Linked DNA regions of Saccharomyces cerevisiae S288C. The protein of the gene in region 1 interacts with the protein of each later gene in a pairwise test. Each region holds a gene or a part of one and is shown on either strand. Other genes may lie near its edges.

Evidence for each region. The genes of interacting proteins can lie anywhere in the genome.
Region 2: the proteins of PPZ2 (region 1) and CAB3 interact in binary tests that used the Saccharomyces cerevisiae proteins (3 or more experiments, as listed by UniProt).

The regions. Positions count from the first base shown.
Region 1 is NC_001136.10:1,333,186-1,337,453, forward strand, and holds PPZ2 (salt homeostasis regulator), read left to right. Parts: upstream 1-1,635; coding exon 1,636-3,768; downstream 3,769-4,268. Other genes in the region: PPM1 (leucine carboxy methyltransferase), read right to left, coding at 1-784; phosphatidylinositol N-acetylglucosaminyltransferase GPI19, read left to right, coding at 4,167-4,268. UniProt on the Saccharomyces cerevisiae protein: Essential for the maintenance of cell size and integrity in response to osmotic stress.
Region 2 is NC_001143.9:273,299-278,135, reverse strand, and holds CAB3 (phosphopantothenoylcysteine decarboxylase complex subunit CAB3), read right to left. Parts: upstream 2,854-4,837; coding exon 1,138-2,853; downstream 1-1,137. Other genes in the region: cytochrome c1 heme lyase CYT2, read left to right, coding at 273-947; MIF2 (Mif2p), read right to left, coding at 3,093-4,742. UniProt on the Saccharomyces cerevisiae protein: Component of the phosphopantothenoylcysteine decarboxylase (PPCDC) involved in the coenzyme A synthesis.

The DNA of each region.
Region 1 (4,268 bases):
ACGTGGGCATTTCCAAATTCCTTGATTCTTTCAAGTTGGACTGCATAATGGCGCCAAATCGGTCATTCGGTTGAGAACCACCAATTGGATCGTAGGATATCCATAGTCCATGTGAAAACTTCGACATGATTGTATTTATTAGTAATTGAGACTCATTATTATGCATGTAGCACAAAAGACACTCAGATATTACGATAGTGGGTATTTCGCGCTTAGTGCATACGTCTAACAAACGGGTTGTTTCAGTGATATCGTTCAAATCACAAGCAGCAAGTTTATATCTTCCTTGATCAATCAAAAAGGGTGATTTTGCTGTATCTTCCTTTGACAAACCGAGGGAGATACGCAAAATCTCACTTTCACGCAAAATACTATTCTTCAATTCTACTGATTCGTTGTAGTCAATGTCCACATAAGCTAAATGAGGGAACATTTGTAACAGGGGCAGCATTCGTAAATCGGAACCGCAACCTAAATTTACCACTTGAACCTTCTCATTTGCAACCAAAAATTCCAATATGGCCGCGTCTATCCCCACAGTACGCAAGTATGTCCCATAGTTCATTACCGGGAAGGAAGACCGCATTGCTTTGTCTACTTTTCCAAAAGCTCGCCTACTAAATTTCTTGAGAGTAATCAAGTAGCTGCGATGCCATTCTGTATACTTTTTGGATAGGTCCACCGACAATCTTTGCAGGCCGCTTGAAGGAAGATATCCGACTGATATAGCAGCTAATTTGCACGACAACGCATCATAGTCAGTCTGCTGTATGATTCTCTCCATGGCGACTTGTTTGTACTCTTTATCATCTAGTTTATGCGGAGTCACAAGGACCCTGACCCATCTTCTTTTTCCCCTATCTTTCCAACTCCAGATTTTTCAGCCTTTGAACCCAGGCGCAAGGCGCAATTGCCCAGAACTCAATCCCCTTGCTTGACCATCTGATGAACAGATAAGTACCTCTTATCTGTGCGTTCTGCTCAGAAGTTTCGCTGCAGTTTTCATTGATTGATAACATAGTGTGCTGCTGACGGAATCGCCTTAAAATGCCTGTACGAAGTAAAATATGGCAGCCGCTGCACTAAACCTTGTAGTGCTCGCTCTTACTTTATTGCGATTCCCACAATCCAAAATTTGCAGTCGCCGCTACGATGGTGTCTGACAACTTCTTCCACATACCAATGTACGTCTTGCCTTCACACCTTACTGCTTCTTATGGCATCCCATATTGGATCCCCCACGTCGCCGCGACAGGCCTTGGACGCCAGCCGTTGCGTTGCACTTGCCAAAGTAACTCACTTGCCAGGGTCTCAGCGATGCACAGAAGAAGGCGGTCCCTTCTTGGAAGAGAGAAATTGTTTACATAACTATATAGTATCTCACAGATACAAGCATACGGTAGCCATAATATACTTCGCAAACCGTACCTTTTTGCGTAAGAAATACACATATAGTAGGTTTTGTCGCCTCCTCTTCCCCCTTTGTCTCAGCATAGCATTAACATAGGTGCCTCAGAGTGACAAAGAGAGAAATAGTTAACTAGAATACGGTGCAAATTCAGAGAAAAAATATCAGATTCTATTCTATTTACCCCCCCTATAACTGCAGAATCGTACATTTGATCAGCAAGTACCATGGGTAATTCCGGTTCGAAACAACATACCAAGCACAATAGCAAGAAGGATGACCACGACGGTGACAGGAAAAAGACACTAGATCTCCCACCACTGACAAAATCGGATACTACACATTCGCTGAAATCGTCAAGGTCGCTGAGGTCGCTGCGGTCGAAACGCTCAGAGGCGTCGTTGGCATCTAATGTTCAAGCTCAAACGCAACCCCTCTCCCGCAGATCGTCCACTCTGGGAAACGGCAATCGCAACCATAGGCGATCAAACAACGCCCCAATCACTCCTCCTAATAACCACTACCTAACCTCACATCCCAGTTCGTCAAGAAGACTCTCTTCCTCTTCGAGAAGGTCGAGCATGGGGAATAATAACAATTCAGAATTGCCCCCGTCAATGATCCAGATGGAGCCCAAATCACCCATCTTGAAAAATAGTACAAGCATGCATTCCACTAGCTCTTTCAACTCTTACGAAAATGCGTTGACTGATGATGACGACGATAGGGGGGATGATGGCGGCGAGAGCCCCTCAATGGCCAAAGTTACTCGCATCAACACTAGTTCTTCCGCAGATAGAGGCTCCAAGCGTACTCCTTTAAGACGTCATAATTCATTACAACCGGAAAAAGGTGTAACAGGATTTTCCTCGACTTCATCGAAATTACGCAGAAGATCAGACAATACTCTGCCAGCAAGTTATCCTTTAAATGCAGAAGCAGGAGGGAATGGCAGCGACTATTTCTCAAACAGATCAAACTCGCATGCATCATCCAGGAAGTCGTCATTTGGCTCCACTGGGAATACAGCTTATAGCACACCACTGCATTCACCTGCGTTAAGAAAAATGAGCTCGAGGGACAACGACGATAGCGGAGACAACGTCAACGGTAGAGGCACCTCACCTATCCCTAATCTAAACATAGACAAGCCTTCGCCGTCAGCGTCGTCAGCGTCAAAAAGAGAATATTTAAGTGCATATCCAACACTAGCTCACAGAGATTCATCATCTTCACTTAGTCCGCGGGGCAAAGGACAACGGTCTTCATCGTCTTCCAGTTCCAGTCAAAGAATATATGTTTCCCCACCATCTCCCACAGGTGATTTCGTACACGGGAGTTGTGCAGACGGTGATAATGGATCTAGGACTAATACTATGGTCGAAATGAAAAGGAAAAAACCAGTTCGTCCAGTGGACATAGATGAAATTATCCAGAGATTACTAGATGCCGGCTATGCCGCAAAGAGGACCAAGAATGTTTGCTTAAAGAATTCCGAGATTATTCAAATTTGCCATAAGGCTCGTGAATTATTCCTTGCCCAACCTGCTCTCTTAGAATTATCTCCCTCGGTAAAAATAGTGGGTGATGTTCACGGCCAATATGCAGATCTTTTGAGACTTTTTACCAAATGCGGTTTCCCCCCCATGGCAAATTACTTATTTTTAGGCGATTACGTAGATCGCGGTAAGCAGTCCCTGGAGACCATTTTACTATTACTATGCTATAAGATTAAATATCCTGAAAATTTCTTCCTCTTAAGAGGCAATCATGAATGTGCCAATGTTACAAGAGTCTACGGGTTTTATGATGAATGTAAACGACGTTGTAATATCAAGATTTGGAAAACCTTTGTTGACACGTTCAACACGCTACCGTTAGCAGCCATCGTCACAGGAAAAATATTTTGTGTTCATGGTGGACTATCACCTGTTCTAAATTCCATGGACGAAATTAGGCACGTTAGTAGGCCCACCGATGTACCCGACTTCGGCTTAATTAATGACCTTTTATGGTCGGATCCTACAGATTCATCGAATGAATGGGAGGATAATGAGCGTGGAGTTAGTTTTTGTTACAATAAAGTGGCTATTAATAAATTTTTAAACAAATTCGGATTCGATTTAGTGTGTAGAGCACATATGGTGGTGGAAGATGGTTATGAATTCTTTAATGACAGAAGCTTAGTTACAGTGTTTTCGGCTCCCAACTATTGTGGTGAATTCGATAACTGGGGTGCTGTCATGACCGTTAGTGAAGGCCTACTCTGTTCTTTTGAGTTGTTGGACCCACTGGACAGTACCGCTTTGAAACAAGTGATGAAAAAAGGCAGGCAAGAACGTAAATTAGCCAATCGCTGAAAAACTAGATATTAATGTTGCAGTTAATAAGCTCATTGAAAACTTTCTTTGGTTGTTCCTCTTCCTTCTTTTTTTCGCCGATAAAGTTGTCGTTATAGTTTCACTTATATCTTACGAGAATCTAAATAAGTAAATATTAATATTATTCAATTTCTCATTTCCTTTCCTCTGGGTTTTTTGAGAGTACGAGTTTTATTGCTCGCTTTTTGTATTTTCACTTTGCCGGCTTTTTCACTATTCCCTATTGTCTTAATAAAGTTCCTGCTTGGGCCCAGTAAACTTTTAAAATTTATGTGCTGAAAGAAAGTTGAAACAATCACAAGAGGAGAGCAGATTTGCCAAAAAAAGAATCTGAGCTGTTTGTTCCTGTCTAATACTAAAAGATATAAATAAACAATATGTATACAAAAGAGTACTACTGGTTTTCACAATATATGATAATAACAAGCACTTTGGTGCTCACCATAATATGGTCCATCTTACCATCATCGCTGGGTGAG
Region 2 (4,837 bases), on another chromosome or scaffold:
GACTAAAAATAATGGCGACTTCTGGGCCGGCCTTCTAAAAAAAAGGGACCCGCAACGGGTAACGGCATATTTTTTTCGAAATCAAAGTTCCAGCTTTTCGATGTTTGTAAGCCTTCTAAGACAGAAAGATGTAGTATAAATGATGTAGCTTACTAATCAGGGAAAAAGCAATCGCTAGTATTGCAGAGGCCAAAGGCTTAAGCATCACATTTCGGTAGTAGTAAATAGTTTGTTAGTTCACGTGCTTTTCATTCGTCTCTATTTTACATATTATGATGTCTTCAGACCAACAGGGGAAATGCCCCGTAGATGAGGAAACCAAAAAGTTATGGCTACGAGAACATGGCAACGAAGCGCATCCTGGTGCTACTGCCCCAGGCAATCAACTAGAGTGCTCTGCAAACCCACAAGATAACGATAAAACGCCTGAATATCACACCACGGTGGATCTCTCTCAGTCCAGAGAGGTTTCCACCATACCAAGGACGAATTCTGACAGAAACTGGATATACCCGTCGGAGAAACAATTTTACGAGGCAATGATGAAAAAAAATTGGGATCCGAACTCAGATGACATGAAGGTGGTTGTGCCTTTACATAACTCCATCAATGAGCGGGTTTGGAACTACATTAAAAGCTGGGAAGACAAGCAGGGTGGTGAAGCGTGTGGCGGTATCAAATTAACAAATTTTAAAGGTGATTCCAAAAAACTGACACCAAGGGCCTGGTTCAGGTCCCGTATCTTGCACCTGGCCAAACCTTTTGATAGACATGATTGGCAGATAGATAGATGCGGTAAAACCGTCGACTACGTAATCGATTTCTATTCCACCGATCTGAACGATGCAAACTCGCAGCAACAACCACTTATTTATCTCGATGTTAGACCAAAATTAAACAGTTTTGAGGGCTTTAGATTACGGTTCTGGAAATCTTTAGGCTTTTGAATTACTACAACTATTCCTGTAAATAAAAACATACCCTCCCTAGTTTCCACATACATATTTATTTAATCTTATTTAGGCACTCAATTTAGAAACTAGGGAATGAAAAAGCAGTAATCTTCTTTTAAGGAATAAACAAAAAAAAAAAAAATAAAACATAAAACATAACACAAAATACTCTTTTCTAATGCATTTAAACTTCGGTTTTCACGTCTTCCTCATCCTCTTCGTCTTCCTCGTCATTGCTCTCATCGGATGCTGTTTCATTTAGAGCTTCTTCCTCCTCCTCGTCCTCCTCATCCTCTTCGTCATCCTCATCATCGTCGTCCTCATTGTCAGCACCCTCTTGTTCTTCTTGTTCTTGCTCTTTATCACCAGTTTCCTCGTCCCTAGCTTTCCGTATTTCATTGATTCTCCTCCTAACGATCTCTACAATATCTGTCCATTCTCTCATACCACCCATACCAATATCTCCGCATATTAATACCTTTTCCACCGGTTTCAAAACTTGGATGAACGGATAGTCTTGCACTAAACTCGTCAGGTGTTTCTTTGTCATAGGATTGATATACATGAATGTATTCATTGCAGGCGCAATCAACACTGGGGTCAGTGGTGACCAATCTCTCATCACAGAAGTTAGCAAATTGTTACATATACCATTGGCCAGTTTAGCAAGTGTGTTAGCTGACAAAGGCGCAATCAGGAAAATATCAGCCCATTTTCTTAATTCATGGTGCAATATCAAGTTCAGACTCAAGCTAGTATCATTCTTATTCACAGCGTCGAATACCCAAGCGTCTTCCTCCCTCCAAATTTTAACGTGTGTTGACATTTTGAGCCCTTTCAAAAAATGCTCAGCGGGTTTTGTGACAATCAACTGAATAGAGATTTTCTCAGGCCCATATATCTTGAAAAGTTTATCAATAATTAGAGGTACTTTTATTGTGGCAACTGAGCCCGTCGCACCAATGAGAATGTGGAATTTCTTGTCGTCTTCCTTCTGAAAGAACTCTGTGAAGGGTACACGAGGCCCTGTGGGTGCAGTGATAACTTCCTTGTTTTTATGTGTGGAGTTATTAGCCGATAATGGCGCCGCCTTTGCAGTGATAGGTTTAGAAGCGTTTGACTTGGGATTGAAGTAGATAAAATCACCTGGCATATGAACGATAGAATTTTTTTCCATCGAAGGTGAATCTACTTCATCTTCGCTATTGCTCGTACCACTCGATACCGAATGTTTCCTGATATCAGTACCATCATTAGTAGTGTTCTCCTTAAATATTGCATTCGCTATCCTCTCCTTTTCGTCTATCAGTTGCTGTCTTTCAGTTTGCTTTTTTTGCACTTGCTCCTGAATTTGCTTCACCTCTTCTTGCTGTTTTGCTCGTTGATTTTGCTCCTGCAGTTGTGCCTTTTGCTGCTCTTCTTGTTGTTGATTTTGCTGCAGTTGTTCCTGCTGCTGCTGCTGCTTTCCAGGTTTATTGGATATCGAATATCTATGATACGGCAACCTTTCCACCTCGGGCACCGTAAATGAAACAGCAGAAGGTAATGAAGGTGAAAACCTTTTTTGCTGGCCATTTGTATTAGCTGGCATACTGGTGTTGATCTGTATTTCATGGCCATCTTTGTTCCTTTCACTATTTTGCTTCAGATTGGCAAAAGAGAAATCCCTCAAATTTGTGCTATAATCGTTTTTGTAAATATTCCTCCTATTAGAGTTGGATTTTGATTGATCTTCATGACTATCAGATCTTTCGAAATTTGATTCATCGTGAATACTTTTTCTTCTCTCCTTGTTGGTCAAAATTGAAACCGGCACTTGTGTTGTAGGCAAGGATGAAATTAAGTTAACTCCCTGCTTACCGTTCATATTCTGATCTGAGTTCACTTTTTCATCCGTCATCACACCTAATAACTCTTTGCTGGTCCTTTAGACTTTTATTTAAATATGCTAACTAAGTGTTACTTTACTGTTCTTTCTCTTTTTCTGCTTTTTGTTCTCTCATCTACGAAAGTTCGGTGCGAAATTTTACGTGATTCATTTTCTTACAGAAAAGTTCACATGTTTAACAGTATAAGCGTATGGACCTAGTTATATTTCTTCAGTACATAGCATGCATAATGAGAATATTCACATCATAATTACCCAAAAGTGTCAAACGTACTGTCTAATTCTTTGTCGTTGTCATCGTTAGCGTCTTCTGAAACGGTCACTTGAACGAAGAACATTTTGGCTTCATCATTCCCTCTATTGGCAATCGCGTACTCGTTGAATGCCGGTATTTGGAAAGTGGAACCTTTAACGCTCAAGAACTTGTTCTTACATACAGTTACTTCGACTATTCCCTGTATCACGTGGAACGTAATATATGTCCTAAATGAGTTGCTTAATTTCTTTTGTCCAGAAATAGCTGGTAGTTTTAATATGCCGCTAGCAAAATATTCTTTATGCTTATCGAACATTATCTCAAGGGCAAAATTCTCGTCCTTCGTGTCTTTTACTTGTTCAGTTTGCGACAAATTGGGCGCGAATGCAATAATTTCATCCTTAGTTTCCTCCTTAGTGTCGCTAATTTTCACATTAGCTTCCAGTATTCCATGTTTCAGCCACTCGCCATTTTCTATGCCTCCAGATTCTATCCTTTCTATAATATCCTCGTTGGGATCTTCTGGAATCAAATTTTCCTTTGCATTTGGATCCTTCTTTGGCCTTCCTCTTGGTCTCCCCGTAGGTACGTAGTTGTAAGGTCTGGTTGGTGTAGGTTTTTTTTTTTGTTTCTTCCTTCTTTGTGCTGCCAATATCTCCTCTTCGTCTTCAGATTCATCATATGTGACAATTTTGTCTATGTCAAGAACGGGTTTATTGGACTTCCTCTTATATACTATTTTTTCGTTCCTCCAATACTGCAAAGGCGCCACCTTGACTCTTGTAGATTTCCGAAGCCCGTTTCTATCAATTATTGAATCTGTACGAACCACATCACTCGCTTGTCGTCTTATATAATCATCTTCATTGTCATTTGTGTTCACCTCAGCCTCCTCTTCTACTTCTTGATAGGTGTTATCTCCATCTGAATCACTGGCTGAATCCGAGCCTGAATCCAAAGATGAGTCACTTTCAATGTAATCACCGTCCTCTTCACTTTCAGGTATAAACCCGTCATCTTCTAATTCGTCTTCTAATAATGCGTTATCAGATGTGTTTAAAGAAGTGTTTACTCTATCATCGTCATCCTCATCAGCAACCAAATCAGGTACATCTGAATAAACATTCTTATTAGTGATTCTATCAGGTGTCAACCTTACAGAAGGGCTTTCTGAAGTGTCAAGGCTATACCGAGTGGAGTACTTTCTTTTATATGTAGGTTTACTCAATTTCTGTGTGATTGGTGTGGCAAAATCATTGCCTCTGATATCATTTTCTTCTTGTTCTGGTTCTTCCTCAATAGGCTCGAAATCATTGGCTGGACTCAGGAAGTTTGATTGATGGCTTAACAAAGATGATCGTCTTGATCCATCGCCTTTCCCAGATGGGCTTTGGACAACTTCATCATCTTGAGATTTATATGACTGTAGAAATGGCGGTAATACGTTCTTAGTATCGCCATTTAACGTTGATGGTAAGAAAAGCGATGATTTTCTTCTGCTTTTCCTTCTCATACTGATAAGACTAGTTTCATCATCTTTGAAAAAATCATCAATATTTTCCATGCTGTATTCATCTTTGGGTATATCTTGCTTAACATCAATACCAGTTTTACGGGACTTAAGCCCCAATTTCATATAATCCATGAGTGAAGTGCTGTCCTGTGCTAATGTCTAACTTATTTGTTTAACGTATGTATTTTTCTAACATTCATTTATTTACATCACCATTTCTAACGCGT